Linked DNA regions of Canis lupus familiaris. The protein of the gene in region 1 interacts with the protein of each later gene in a pairwise test. Links are inferred from orthologs where the notes say so. Each region holds a gene or a part of one and is shown in the gene's direction. Other genes may lie near its edges.

Region 1 (4,378 bases):
TGTTTTATTATCTGTTGGCTTTTATCCTACAGTTCTAATTTCTTTAGTGATCAAGTATATATTTACTAGTCTGAGTTTCTTGTTTTCCTTAAGTCTCCACCTCTAGATAACCCTGTTGGTCTCCTATATTGTTATTTTAGGTCTGTTTTATTGTTTAAGATCCTATACCATTTGTTAGCTGAATCTTTACTGAATCTACACATGGGGAATCTATTTCTGGTCTATTCTGTCGCGCTCATCTGTCTTTCCTTCAACAAATCACATTGTTTCATTACAGTGTCTTGCACACTATTCCGAAAAGCGAGTTCCTCCTCAACCTCGTTTACAGGTTTCCCCACTATTCTCATAATTATATGACTTTAAGATGATGTAATCAACCCCCAACCTAGTTGATTCTATGGAAATACAATGTATTTGCAAATTAATTTTGTTTTTTTTTTTGTTTTGGTTTTTTTTTTGTTGTGCAAATTAATTTTGAAATCGAATTATTATTGTTTTCTGCCTAAGATGATGTGTTCTTCCATAGGCTCAGTATCGCTTTGATCCTTCAAATAGACTATTTTATAGTTGTTTTTTTTGTTTTGTTTTTTGTTTTTTTTTAAGAAAACAGGAAGTCCCTTTTTACCTGCGGCGCGTCAACGGTTCCGGTTTACGGTCGCGCGCCAGCCCCTCCCCCGTCCCTCGGTTCCGGGTTACTATGGGAATCGAGACTTAACGTCACTAAGGGCTTCCGCGCCGGACCAAGGAGTCGACCATGAAGCGAAGGTCGGAGAGGCAGCCTTGCCCCATCTACGCATGCGCTCTCCTCTCCACTCCTCCCCGGCCGTAAATCTCGTTCTGCCGGGTACCGCCGCGACCTCTCGCTTAATCCCAGAGAAACTGCTCCCCGGGGGAGGAGTAGAAAAAGAACCGGACAAGCGACAGCCAATCCCATGACACTACGACGCAACCGAGCATTGACCCAATCAACTTCAACCAATGAGAAAGACCCTGCCCCCTACGTCACAGAGCTTGCCCCGCCCCATTCCCCTCCTTTCTGGACTCCGAGCTCAGTTCGCGCAGTAACAAATGAAGTGCGCGCTGCGACACCTCCCAGCTCGCCAGGCTCGGCCGCCATTTCTTCCCCCCGGCCTAACGGTCCGGCCAATCCCAGCGTGCATCGAGAGGGGCTAAGGCTCCGCCAATCGGAGGCCGCCGATTCCGACCCCTTGCCTGGGCTCGGCCCAATCCAGGACTCGGACCCGTCGCCCCCGGACCGCCCCCGCGGCGCCCTCTCTCCTCCCTCTTTGTGCGTCTCGCGCCGCCGCCGCCGCCGCCCGCCGCGTGAGAGGACGGGCTCCGCGCGCTCCGCGGCAGCGCAGTCGGGTCCCCTCCCCCCGGAAGGTTCGCGAAGAAGCCGCCGCCGCCACCACCGCCTAAAAGGAGCCGCCGGTGCCGGTCCCCGGGGGCGCCATGGCGACCGGAGCGAACGCCACGCCGCTGGGTAAGCTGGGCCCCCCCGGCCTCCCCCCCGTTTCCGGGCCCAAAGGGGGCTTCGAGCCGGGGCCACCGCCTGCTCCCGGGCCTGGGGCGGGGCTGCTGGTGCCCGGGCAGCCGCCGCCCCCGCCCGTGGGCTCGGTGGGAGCCCTGACCGCGGCCTTCCCCTTCGCGGCGCTGCCGCCGCCGCCACCGCCGCCGCCCCCGCCTCCCCAGCAGCCGCCGCCGCCGCCGCCCTCCCCGGGCTCCTCGTACCCGCCGCCGCAGCCTCCCCCTCCGCCGCCGCTCTACCAGCGCGTGTCGCCGCCGCAGCCGCCGCCACCCCATCAGGACCAGCAGCCGGGCCCGGCCGGCGGCGGAGGAGGTGAGTCGGGCCGAGAGAGCGCGAGAGGCGTCGCGCGGACGGGCCCGGCCGCCTGAGGGGCGCGCGGCGGCGGCGACGGCGGCTGCACGCGGCAGGGGCGCGCGCGCGCACGGGGAGGCCCCGGGCGGAGGCGCCAAGGGGCGCGCGGCCCGGTTCTCGGGCCCCGAGTGCGCACGCGCACTGGAAGGGGTGGGGGGGTGGAGCGCGGAGGGTGTTGTGCGCAGGCGCAGTATGGCTGCCGGGCTTTGTGGCCCGATAATAAATGGAAATGGGGTGGGGGGGCTCTGTGTTGCTCTCTACAGCTTGGTACAGGAGAGGGGTGTCGAGCGGGTTGAATTGGTGGACGGGTTGAGGGATGTGCGTGTCGGGAGGGCGTGAAAGGGTCAATTGATGACGTGGAGCACCTTTCTGATTCTAGAGAAGTCCAAAAGGTAGGAAAGCGAGAGTAATTTATCTCTCTGTGCGAAGTTTTTACTGCAGTGAAAGGAAGAGCTCGAAAAATCCTCAGTGGTGTGGTTGGAGCCGGTGCACTTTTGGAGGAAGGAATATTTTCCTAATCTCCATTCGTTTATCTTAGAGAAGTCTGATATGTCTCCCCTTAGTTGTTGGGGCTTTCCAAGTAGAACTGATTTGTGTGTACCAGATGTGTAGAAAGTTTACGCTTCTGTTTTGGAGGAGGAGTATTTGGCTGCTGTTGGATAGCTTGTATTTTGTTGAACTTTTGATACCTCATTTAGGAGTTCTGATGTTAAGTGTCTAAATTAGCCAGGAAAACTGAATGCTTATCTTGACTAAACTTCTGAAGAAAAAAGTGAGCTTTTTGAAGAATTGGGCTTTTTCACTTAGTAAATTGTAAGTTTGGTTGTGTTCTGGTCCCTTTAGAAAGGTGGCTGGTGGGGTTTGGAGGTGGGAAGAACCAACAGTTTTCTCAGCATACTTTACCACATCTGATTATTCGGTATATTTTGTCTCCCCTGGGGTTTTTAAAACATTTGTGGTTGATGTTGCATATCTGAAACTGTAGGGATTAAGATTTGTTAGCTTGTTTACATACTTCACGTTTTTTTGACATATGTTATAAATATGAAATATGTTTTTGGACCCAGAGCCAGGTATCTTTGTGGCGGCTGTGTGTCTCTGATTTCTTGGGTATGTCTTCCATTTTTTGCCATTTACGTTTTAGGTCAAGTTCTCAGTTTCCCAGTCTGCCGAGGTTGTGTGTAGTATTATAAGTATCGTGAACTGCCTGTTGGTAGTTAGTTTGTTGGTTTATATTTGTATTTGATGGGTTTTCTCTGCCTTTAGACTTCCCAAGTAAGAAGCGGAAGAGGAGCCGCTGGAACCAAGATACAATGGAACAGAAGACAGTGATTCCAGGAATGCCTACAGTCATCCCCCCTGGACTTACTCGGGAACAAGAAAGAGCTTATATAGGTAAATACACGTTCTGCACCCAAATATGTTTTCGGATTGTTATGACTTATTCTGAGCAGCGTTTTATGTGTCCTAAATTTGAGACTTTAAAGTCTTGTTCTTTTGAGATGAGGTATGGTCAGGTGTACTTTTATGACTTCGACATAATCCATCAGTTTTTGCTCTGTAAGTCCTGCATTTGAAGCTCCTGGTTTCGGTCTGTTCGTAACAGCAGTGTTCTCCATGAGTGCCAGGAAGGTAGAGGGACCCATTTAGGAGTGAGGGTAGTCCCCAGTCCAGTACCCCACCCTACACTTTTCAGCTGCTGTTCATTGCCCGTTGGTGAGGTGAGTGTCTTCTGCCTCTCTGGACACGGCCCCAAGTGGAGAACACTGCAGGTATTATAAACTAAGTACCTTTTTCACAGCATGGCCTTTCACCATTTCATATTCTTCCCTCCCCTTCAAATGTGGTCTTTTACTTTTTATAGGTACTTTCTGAAAAACTCAGTTTAATCAAAGAGTGGTCCTGAAAGTGTTGGCAGTATACATCCCTTTTTACGATTTTGTTGAATTTAACCTTTCCTTCAGCATCTTTTCTGGTTTGGTCTTTGGAGAGCTGCCTTAAAACGAAGGCTCTTTTACTATTTATTATCAAAGAATTCTGCTGGGAAAGGGGTACTACTTGGATATGGCATGAGGTGATAGGGTAAAAAAGATCTTAACTGTTGGGAAATTTCAAGACAATAATTATAGTAATTGTCCACAATGTAAATGAAGTTAACCTCAAAATTACCTTTTTTTAAATACAAGGTTTTTAATGCGAGTTTCACCTTTATTCATGTATCTCCAGCTGTCTCCAAAAAGTTCACTTGATAAGCATTTCCTACTAACCAAATAAACATCCCCTTTGGAGTAAATTAGGGCAAAGGCCGCCTAGGCCTGGGAGGCTGTAGCCTTTACAGATAAAAAGCTTCAAGGCTGGCATGTGTTATTCTTGAGGATCATAATCTCTTACATTTTTTAATTGCTGAGAGTTTTGAGGTGTTGGAATTGTTTGTTTTTACAGTACTAATATTTCTTCTTTCCCCACTGTTCCAATTTACTCCTATCCACCTCCTTGTCT
Region 2 (4,155 bases), on another chromosome or scaffold:
TCTCCCGTCTTTCCTCATTACAGCCCGCCACGGCCTTTGCATGTGTTCCTTCCTCTGCCAGCAAAGCTAACTCCCTCCCTTTAGGTCGCTGCTCAGATGTCACTGAATTAGAGAGGCCTTCCCCCAGGTCACCCCATGTAACACCGTGACATCCATACACTCCCCTCCCCCACAGACACAGAAACACTATCCCCTTTCCTCGCTTTTTCTATTTTAATCAGCAATCTTTATTTTTTAGTTAGCAATCTTTAAATAACATAAAGATTCATTGTTTTATTCCCCCCCATTGTGGTATAAAGCCCATGAGGGCAGGAACTCACGTGTCCAGTGCCCTCTGCCCCAGTGCCTAGCACAGTGCTGGGCTGATGCAGTGTTCAGCACAGGTCCAGTGGTTCCAATTGTCCATCTGCGCTACGGCCCCAAGGACCTCTGAACGGCTTGTCACCAAGCTCCTTTCCTTGAGCTCCTTTTGTCATAATTTGGGAAACATTTACAACCAAGAGACAACAGCCCCCACAATGAAGGACCTCGAATCCCGCGCCCCCGCCCCCCTCCCCCATCTGTAGAAATAAACAAAAGAGACATCAGATGAGCAGCTCGCGAGGGCCTTAGCAGCTCAACAATTCTGTGACGCTGTCTGGCCAGGTTTGTGAGACCGTCAAGCTCAGTCTGAGTGAGGAGGCAGGAAGTTGGAAACCAGCGTGGAAGGAACTGAGAGGAACATGCTCCGGCCTGGTTAAAAACACGTGCTCAGGCCTTCACCTTCTCTGTGTCGAAAGGCCACGGCTTTTAACCGTCCTCGCCCGGGGAGGGCGCTGAGGGCCTGCCAGGACCTCCCGAGGCAGCGCCGACGAACGGAGACCATGGGACCCGGGAGTCTTCCTCAACAGGGGCTCCACCTGCGTGTTGGTTCTTTGTTAGCCAACTGCGCTCAGCCCCCGACCGTGAATATTCTGCTCAGAAAACGCACTTCGGTGTGAACCAAGCGTAGCAGGGAGTGCTTTAACCTGACTGGGACCTCGTCCGCCGACCACCTCCCGAGAGAACCGACAAGGAGCATCCATCATGGCTGCCGGCAACAGCGCAGCGAGAGGCAACCGAAAGAAAATGGCGCCGGGGCGCGCGGCCGGTGACGGCAGGCCCAGGCCGGCGGAGCGACCCAGGGACGCCATCCAGGAACCCTGAAGACCCGCCTGGACCCAAGGCGCCGGGAAACCCTGACACTTCACGACTGCAATATGGAGGACGGTTATTGTGTCTGCAAACCAACTTGCACAAGGAGGCCCGTGTTCCGTCCCGCGTTCGGAACCCGGCAAAATCTTCTATTCTCCAAACAGAATGCGTTACGCACACTGCGCATCTTCGCAATAGTGGGCCGGGTAACGACGCAAAGAATGTTACGTCGCACCGGAGGCTCTTCCCCTCACCCCACCCCACGTTCTAGTTCAGGTGGCGCGAGCACTCTACGCCCGCTTCGTACTTTATTTTTCTTCTACGGACTGCAACATGTGCCGGTCTGCGCAACTGACGTAAATGGCTTCCAAGAATGCCCTTAGTACTCCGCCAAGCCCTCGGGCTATTCCAAGACGCTGTTTACGTATCGTCTCCGACGTACGTAGCGTTAAGCTGGAGCAGTCTCAGCGCCGGCCGCCATTTTGTGCAGTCGCTGGGAAGGAAGGAGACGCCTAAACCGCGGCACTGCCGGGTTTGAGCGTAGCCAAACCTACCCACAGTTTTTATAACCCCGATTCTCTGTGTTTTGCTCCCGTCTCCGACGAGAGAGGCGGCGACGGTGGCGTCTGCGACGGGAGACAGCGCGTCGGAGCGAGAGAGCGCCGCGCCTGCCGCCGCCCCAACAGCGGAGGCGCCGCCGCCATCGGTCGTCACCAGACCGGAGCCGCAGGCCCTCCCGAGCCCGGCCATCCGTGCCCCGCTCCCAGATCTCTATCCGTTTGGGACCATGCGCGGAGGCGGCTTTGGGGACCGGGACCGGGATCGTGACCGTGGAGGGTAAGGGGGGAGGGGGAGAGGGAAGGCCTCGCGTGTGCGTGGGCCGGGGGGAGGGGGAAGGTTGTTTCCTGAGGAGACCGCAGCCTGCCGCCGAGCGGGAGACCTGGAGCGGACTGCAGGCCTGGGAGCGACGCCCCCGACTCCGGGAGGCGAGGCGACCTGGGACATAATAGCGGTTTGGTGTGCGGGCCTGCGGGTGGGCCTGCGCCCCGGGATCACGGGAGACCCGGCGTGGGGGGGCGGCCTGGCGACGCCCCAGCCCCTCCTTTCGGACCGCAGTCGTGGCGGGGAGCCGGAGCGGCGGCCCGAGCGCCGCAGACCCAGCCTGGCCTCGCCTCGCCGCCCGGCTGCCGGGCCCGGCCGATTTGGGCAAGTCATTTGATCTCTCCAGGCCTCAGCGCTCATCTGTAAAACACGGATGTTCTTGCTGAGAAGAGGAGGAGGTCTCCGAGTTCGGCCTGGGAAAATCTTGACGCCAAATGGCTTCCCTTATCTTATCTGTCGCCAGAGATAACTGCTAAAGGAACTGGAAATCGAGTTGGAAACTAGACGCCAAATGGCTGATTTCTAGTTTTAAATGTATCTTAAAATCCCCTTTAGTGGTATTTCAGATAATTCGAAGGAAGCACTTTGGACAGTAAAGCAGTGGAATTGTTTGCCATCTAAATGATCTTATTTGAGGAGGGGAGGGAGGGTTTTTTGTGGGTTTTTTTGTTTGTTTTTTTTTTGGTTACTGTAGGGTTCCCTCCCACCCTGTGTTCTGTTCTTCTCCAGTTGGACTGGAGTATTAGTTGCTCGGCCTGGTTAGAAAGTTTCGATGCGATAATGCCACGGCTGAAAGTTAACAAGATTAAAGTTCTTCCCAGATACTGAGATTCAGATCTTAACATAAGTTAAAGGGAAAAGTTGCCTAAGAGATGCGAATGTTCGTGCTGTTAACTTTTTGTAATAAAGGTCTTATCTCTGGATAAATAATAATGGAACGCCAGTTATTAATATATATACATATGTGACCTTGGGCAAGATCCTGGACCTTTTTGTGAGCCTATTTTCTCAACTGAAGATGGGCATAATAATTGCCTTTACTTTGCATTGTTTTCGGGAATTGAGATCTATGTAAAATTGTGTCTTTGTGATAGGTGTTCTGTTGATATTTTCTCCAAACATTTTTGTCTTTTGCGGTTCAAATACAGAAGTCCCAGACCTCTAGTCATAAGCACCTCAATTCACTTGAATTGCCGAATAAAAAGGATTATTTTGTTTATACCTTGTTAGAAAAGAAAATATTTGATCTTAGTGTTAAATTTGGAGGGCTAGAAGTGGAATGTTTGCTTAGAGTTTCACAGTATAGCTCAATTTAGAAGTGAATTTCAGTGCAACCACTTGAGACAAAGAATTTTTGACATTACCTAGTAGAAAATGACCCAATAATTCCTTTCTTAAGCTTTGTACCCTAGACACAAGCCTAGAGAAATCATTGTACGTGTTCCCCAGCATTCATGTACAAAAAATGTTCATACCAGCACTGTTCATGAAAATATTGGGAACCACTCTTCTGTCTAGATAAAGGGTGGGTATTCATTACAGTAGAATGTAACACAACCGTGGAAGAAAAAAAAAAAAAACTTGCATCAAAATGGATGACCAGCAAACATTGAAAAAGCAAGTTGTGGTAAAAGGATACGTATATGACCGGACTCCAAAAAGCAAAAATCAAGATGGTAGTTGTAGTGGGTTTGTAAACTTGAAATAGGCACAGAGGGCTACCAAGGTACTGATCATGTTCTGTTTCTTTACCATACCATAGGTGTTTGGTTTAATACTTAATTTCACCATATACATGTTTTAACAAATTATTTGAAAAGAAGAAAAAGTAAATTACTGATCCATATTTCTACCCCATATTGACTATCAGATGACATTTTTTTTAAAGCTTTAAACTTTTCACACAAAATGGCACTTTTTCATGATGTTTGTGTCCTAATTCTACATTTACCATGAAATTGCATTTATGATTTTGAGTTACTATATTCTTAACAATTACAGAGCCGAAATAGATTATTTTGAAGAGAATAAAAGTGAGGTTAGTGTATATGTGTACATGTAAAATCCAAAAGTGATGTGCCTTGTACATTTAAACTAGCA
Region 3 (3,644 bases), on another chromosome or scaffold:
TTCAAAGTACATTTTAAAATAAGTTTACTAAAAGAAAACAGTAAGTTTAAATAGTTTTGGATGGCAAGACTAGCAGAAGAACTATAGGAGCGACAAGTCTGAGAGACCTTATGGTAAAGGAGGCCTGGCTCGGGCTTGGAGGAGGCAGATGACTTTGACCACTGATGCCAGGAGCTTTATGGAGGACCTCTGCTTCATTCAGGGATGGGCTAGTTTGAGTGATGAGTAGTGGCATGGAGGGGGCTTGAATGGGCAGTGTTCTGGGTAGTTGTAAGGATTGTAGTGTTAATTTTTCTCTTTTCCTCCTTGTAGAAACGGACCTGAATTTGAAGCTAGGATACGACAGAATGAGATCAACAACCCCAAGTTTAACTTCTTGAACCCCAACGACCCTTACCATGCCTACTACCGCCACAAGGTCAGCGAGTTCAAGGAGGGGAAGGCTCAGGAGCCCTCAGCCGCCATCCCCAAGGTCATGCAGCAGCAACAGCAGGCCACCCAGCAGCAGCTGCCCCAGAAGGTTAGAGCCATCCCCTTCCTTCATATCCCCGGGGCTGAAAGGGAAGCCAGGCCAGGGAGGGAAGGATAATGAACTCTGTTATCCAAACCTCACTGCTAGCCAGGAGAAACATGAGGTTTTTATCCACAGAGGCAGACACTGAGGCTCAGGCAGCATAGTATTGCCGCCTTTGACGTTTCCTGAGCATTGCTTATCTGGCTCTATGCTCAGTACTTTAGGAGTCTTGTTGGCACCGCACAGCAGCTGCTTGAGGAGAACAGCAAAGTGACCATTTTACAGATGAGGAACCTGACACTTGGGGAAGTAGGATTTACCTGGGCCATAGAGTCAATAGTCCACAGAGTTCAAGTTCTTAGCCTGTACTTTTTGCCTTGACCATGGAGTAAGGACAGTGCTGTGATGTGGCTTGTGGGCCCCTCCTTGAGCCATCCCTCTCATCCATCCTATCTTCCCAGGGCCCTTCCTTGTGGCCTGCTGTAATACCCTAATCCTCTTTAGGTCCATCACTTAGGACAGTTAGGGTTGTCAATGAGAACAAGAAGAGCTGGCACATTTTGCCTCCTTTATAGACCTAGTCTGGTCCCTTCTCTTTGCTCTATTCCTGGACCATGGTGGAAAAAGCTACCTCCTGTTTTACAGTGGGAAATAAAGGTTGGAATAGATTCTATGACCATGCATTACCATTTACTACTGCTAAGGCCTCAGACTACCTCAGTTTCCTCATCTATAAAAGGGATTCATAGTACCTGTTCTATCCACCACATGGTTCATGTGGAGGCCAGATGAGGTAACAAACATGGAAGTTCTCTGTCCAGGGGGTCCTCCGCACACATGTAGGGCTTACTGTGTCCTCCGTCCTCCTCTGGTGGGGTTTAATAAGGCATTTTCCCGTCAGATCTTCTGCCCCTCAGTTTTGGCCCTTGATTTCAGGGCAACAGCAAAAATACAGAAGGGCAGGTTCTTGTTCGAAGCCATTTGGGAATTTGAGTCCACAGTTTGCCAAGAAACTGGCACTCTTATGAGTTAGGATTCTCACACCATGGGCCAGAGGTGTTTACATGATTAACAGGAGTGTAGAGGTCTCTGCCATCCTGTCTGGGGTGTCTTCCCATCACCTCTCAAGCCTCACATTCTCTCTGCATCTTAGGTCCAAGCCCAGGTGATCCAAGAGACCATCGTGCCCAAAGAGCCCCCTCCTGAGTTTGAGTTCATCGCAGACCCCCCGTCCATCTCAGCCTTCGACCTGGATGTGGTAAAGCTGACAGCTCAGTTTGTGGCCAGGAATGGCCGCCAGTTTCTGACCCAACTGATGCAGAAAGAGCAACGCAACTACCAGTTTGACTTCCTCCGCCCGCAGCACAGCCTCTTCAACTACTTCACAAAGCTGGTGGAGCAGTACACCAAGGTGCCTCGCCAGGGCAGGGGTGGGGGTGCTGGGCCTAGGGAAGGAAGGCACCATGAATAAGCACTGGATCTACTCGTGTCTATAAGGACATGACTCCTCTGTGGACCCTCAGGCAGGTGTTAAAAATTATACTTCGGTGTAAGATCTTGATTTCTAATTCAGTTCTGCCTCTTAAATGTAACATAGACTGCTGGTTTTAAATAGAAGTAAAATGTGTGATTGATAACTGCCATTAGGCTGGTGCCTGCTGTGTGACAAGGCCAAGTGATGCTAGCTGCTTTTAAAGTATATTGAAATATTCAGTTGCCTAGCACAGATGTGAGAAGAAGCAAGCCCTTAATAATTACCTCCTTTTGCCCAGTTTGCTCTTCATAAGAACCTAGGAGATATTCCCTCCTTCCCCTTTTTTTCTTTATAAGGCAATTTTTTTTTTAAGATTTTATGTATTAGGGAGAGAGAGAGAGAGGCAGAGAGACATAGGCAGAGGGAAAAGCAGGCTCCCTGCAGGGATCCTGATGTGGGACTCAATCCTGGGACTCCAGGATCACGCCCTGAGCTGAAGGCAGATGCTCAACCACTGAGCCACACAGGCATCCTCCTCTACCCTTTTTTAAAAGCAGAAATAGGCTCAGAGAGTTGAAGTCATTTACTCATGGTCGTCAGCTAGTAAGTAGCTGCACTCAAATATTTATATTGTTTTTCACCCCGAGGGGTACCTTACATTAGAACTATAATGTAAATAAGCACTGGGGTTAGGAGTTGGGGTAACTAGGTGATGGGGATTAAGGAGAGCATATGATGTGTTGAGCATTGGGTGTTCTATATGTTGGCAAACTGAATTAAAAAAAAAAAGCACTGGAAAACATTTAACATAAGTAAGGATAAGCTAGTATTGTTGGGATACTTGTATATGTAGCATTCTGTCACTTAATCTCTAGTAATTTACAAGGTAGCCACTCATACTTATTTTACACAGGAAGTAGGCACACAGTTAACTTGGACAGGATCACACATCTAGGGCTTGCTAAACTGGGACTTGAACTCTGGCATTTTTACTCCAGAACCTGAGATCTGGGTGTTAGGGTCTGTATTAAGAAGATCTTAATTATCATGCTACATTGTTAGAATCAAGATTGGGACAAGTCAATATTAATATTTAAAAACAATCAAATTAACTTCTTGCAAAGTACACTGATACAAACTTGCCAGTGGCTTGTTTTTCTTGCTCCACATGTAGCTGAGGTTGTCTTCCCTCTTTACTGGTGTGGTTTATACATCTGTTTTTGTTTTTTAGAGTAGCACGTTAAAGATCTGACTTGAAAAGATTTGTAATGGTTTACTCTTAGTTCACTTTATGTAACTAGAAAGGATTATAAAGGTGCATGTGTTTGGAAAATGATCAAATCCAAAAATGGTGGTGGAATAGCTAAAACAACAATCATGAAAGCCAAAGGTTTTGTGTAATTAGTTATCCAGGAGCAATTTTAATTAAGCCCTGTGTTATTTTTCCTTTGTGTACTACTTCCAGGGTTGAAGGTCTCGAGATTCCTTTTTATTCTGTTATTTTCCTGTTCTTCTTTTTCAAGATTTGGGTATTAACATTAGCATTTTAACCTGAGGTCACTGGTGTCTGTCTCTGGTCATTGGAGACCATAGGAATAGATTTATTCATGAGGTAGAGGTATAGGGAGGATAGAGTGGGGCTGAACCCACTTTACT

What was found.
Region 2: the proteins of SF1 (region 1) and DDX17 interact in binary tests that used the Homo sapiens proteins (3 or more experiments, as listed by UniProt). The link is inferred for Canis lupus familiaris from reciprocal best matches to the Homo sapiens genes SF1 and DDX17.
Region 3: the proteins of SF1 (region 1) and SF3A1 interact in binary tests that used the Homo sapiens proteins (3 or more experiments, as listed by UniProt). The link is inferred for Canis lupus familiaris from reciprocal best matches to the Homo sapiens genes SF1 and SF3A1.

What each region holds. Positions count from the first base shown.
Region 1 is NC_049239.1:52,884,960-52,889,337, forward strand, and holds the start of SF1 (splicing factor 1), read left to right. Parts: upstream 1-1,452; coding exon 1,453-1,840; intron 1,841-3,145; coding exon 3,146-3,274; intron 3,275-4,378. UniProt on the Homo sapiens protein: Necessary for the ATP-dependent first step of spliceosome assembly. Binds to the intron branch point sequence (BPS) 5'-UACUAAC-3' of the pre-mRNA. May act as transcription repressor.
Region 2 is NC_049231.1:27,281,477-27,285,631, forward strand, and holds the start of DDX17 (probable ATP-dependent RNA helicase DDX17), read left to right. Parts: upstream 1-1,238; coding exon 1,239-1,379; intron 1,380-1,717; coding exon 1,718-2,010; intron 2,011-4,155. UniProt on the Homo sapiens protein: As an RNA helicase, unwinds RNA and alters RNA structures through ATP binding and hydrolysis.
Region 3 is NC_049247.1:23,902,991-23,906,634, reverse strand, and holds part of SF3A1 (splicing factor 3A subunit 1), read left to right. Parts: intron 1-312; coding exon 313-520; intron 521-1,667; coding exon 1,668-1,925; intron 1,926-3,644. UniProt on the Homo sapiens protein: Component of the 17S U2 SnRNP complex of the spliceosome, a large ribonucleoprotein complex that removes introns from transcribed pre-mRNAs.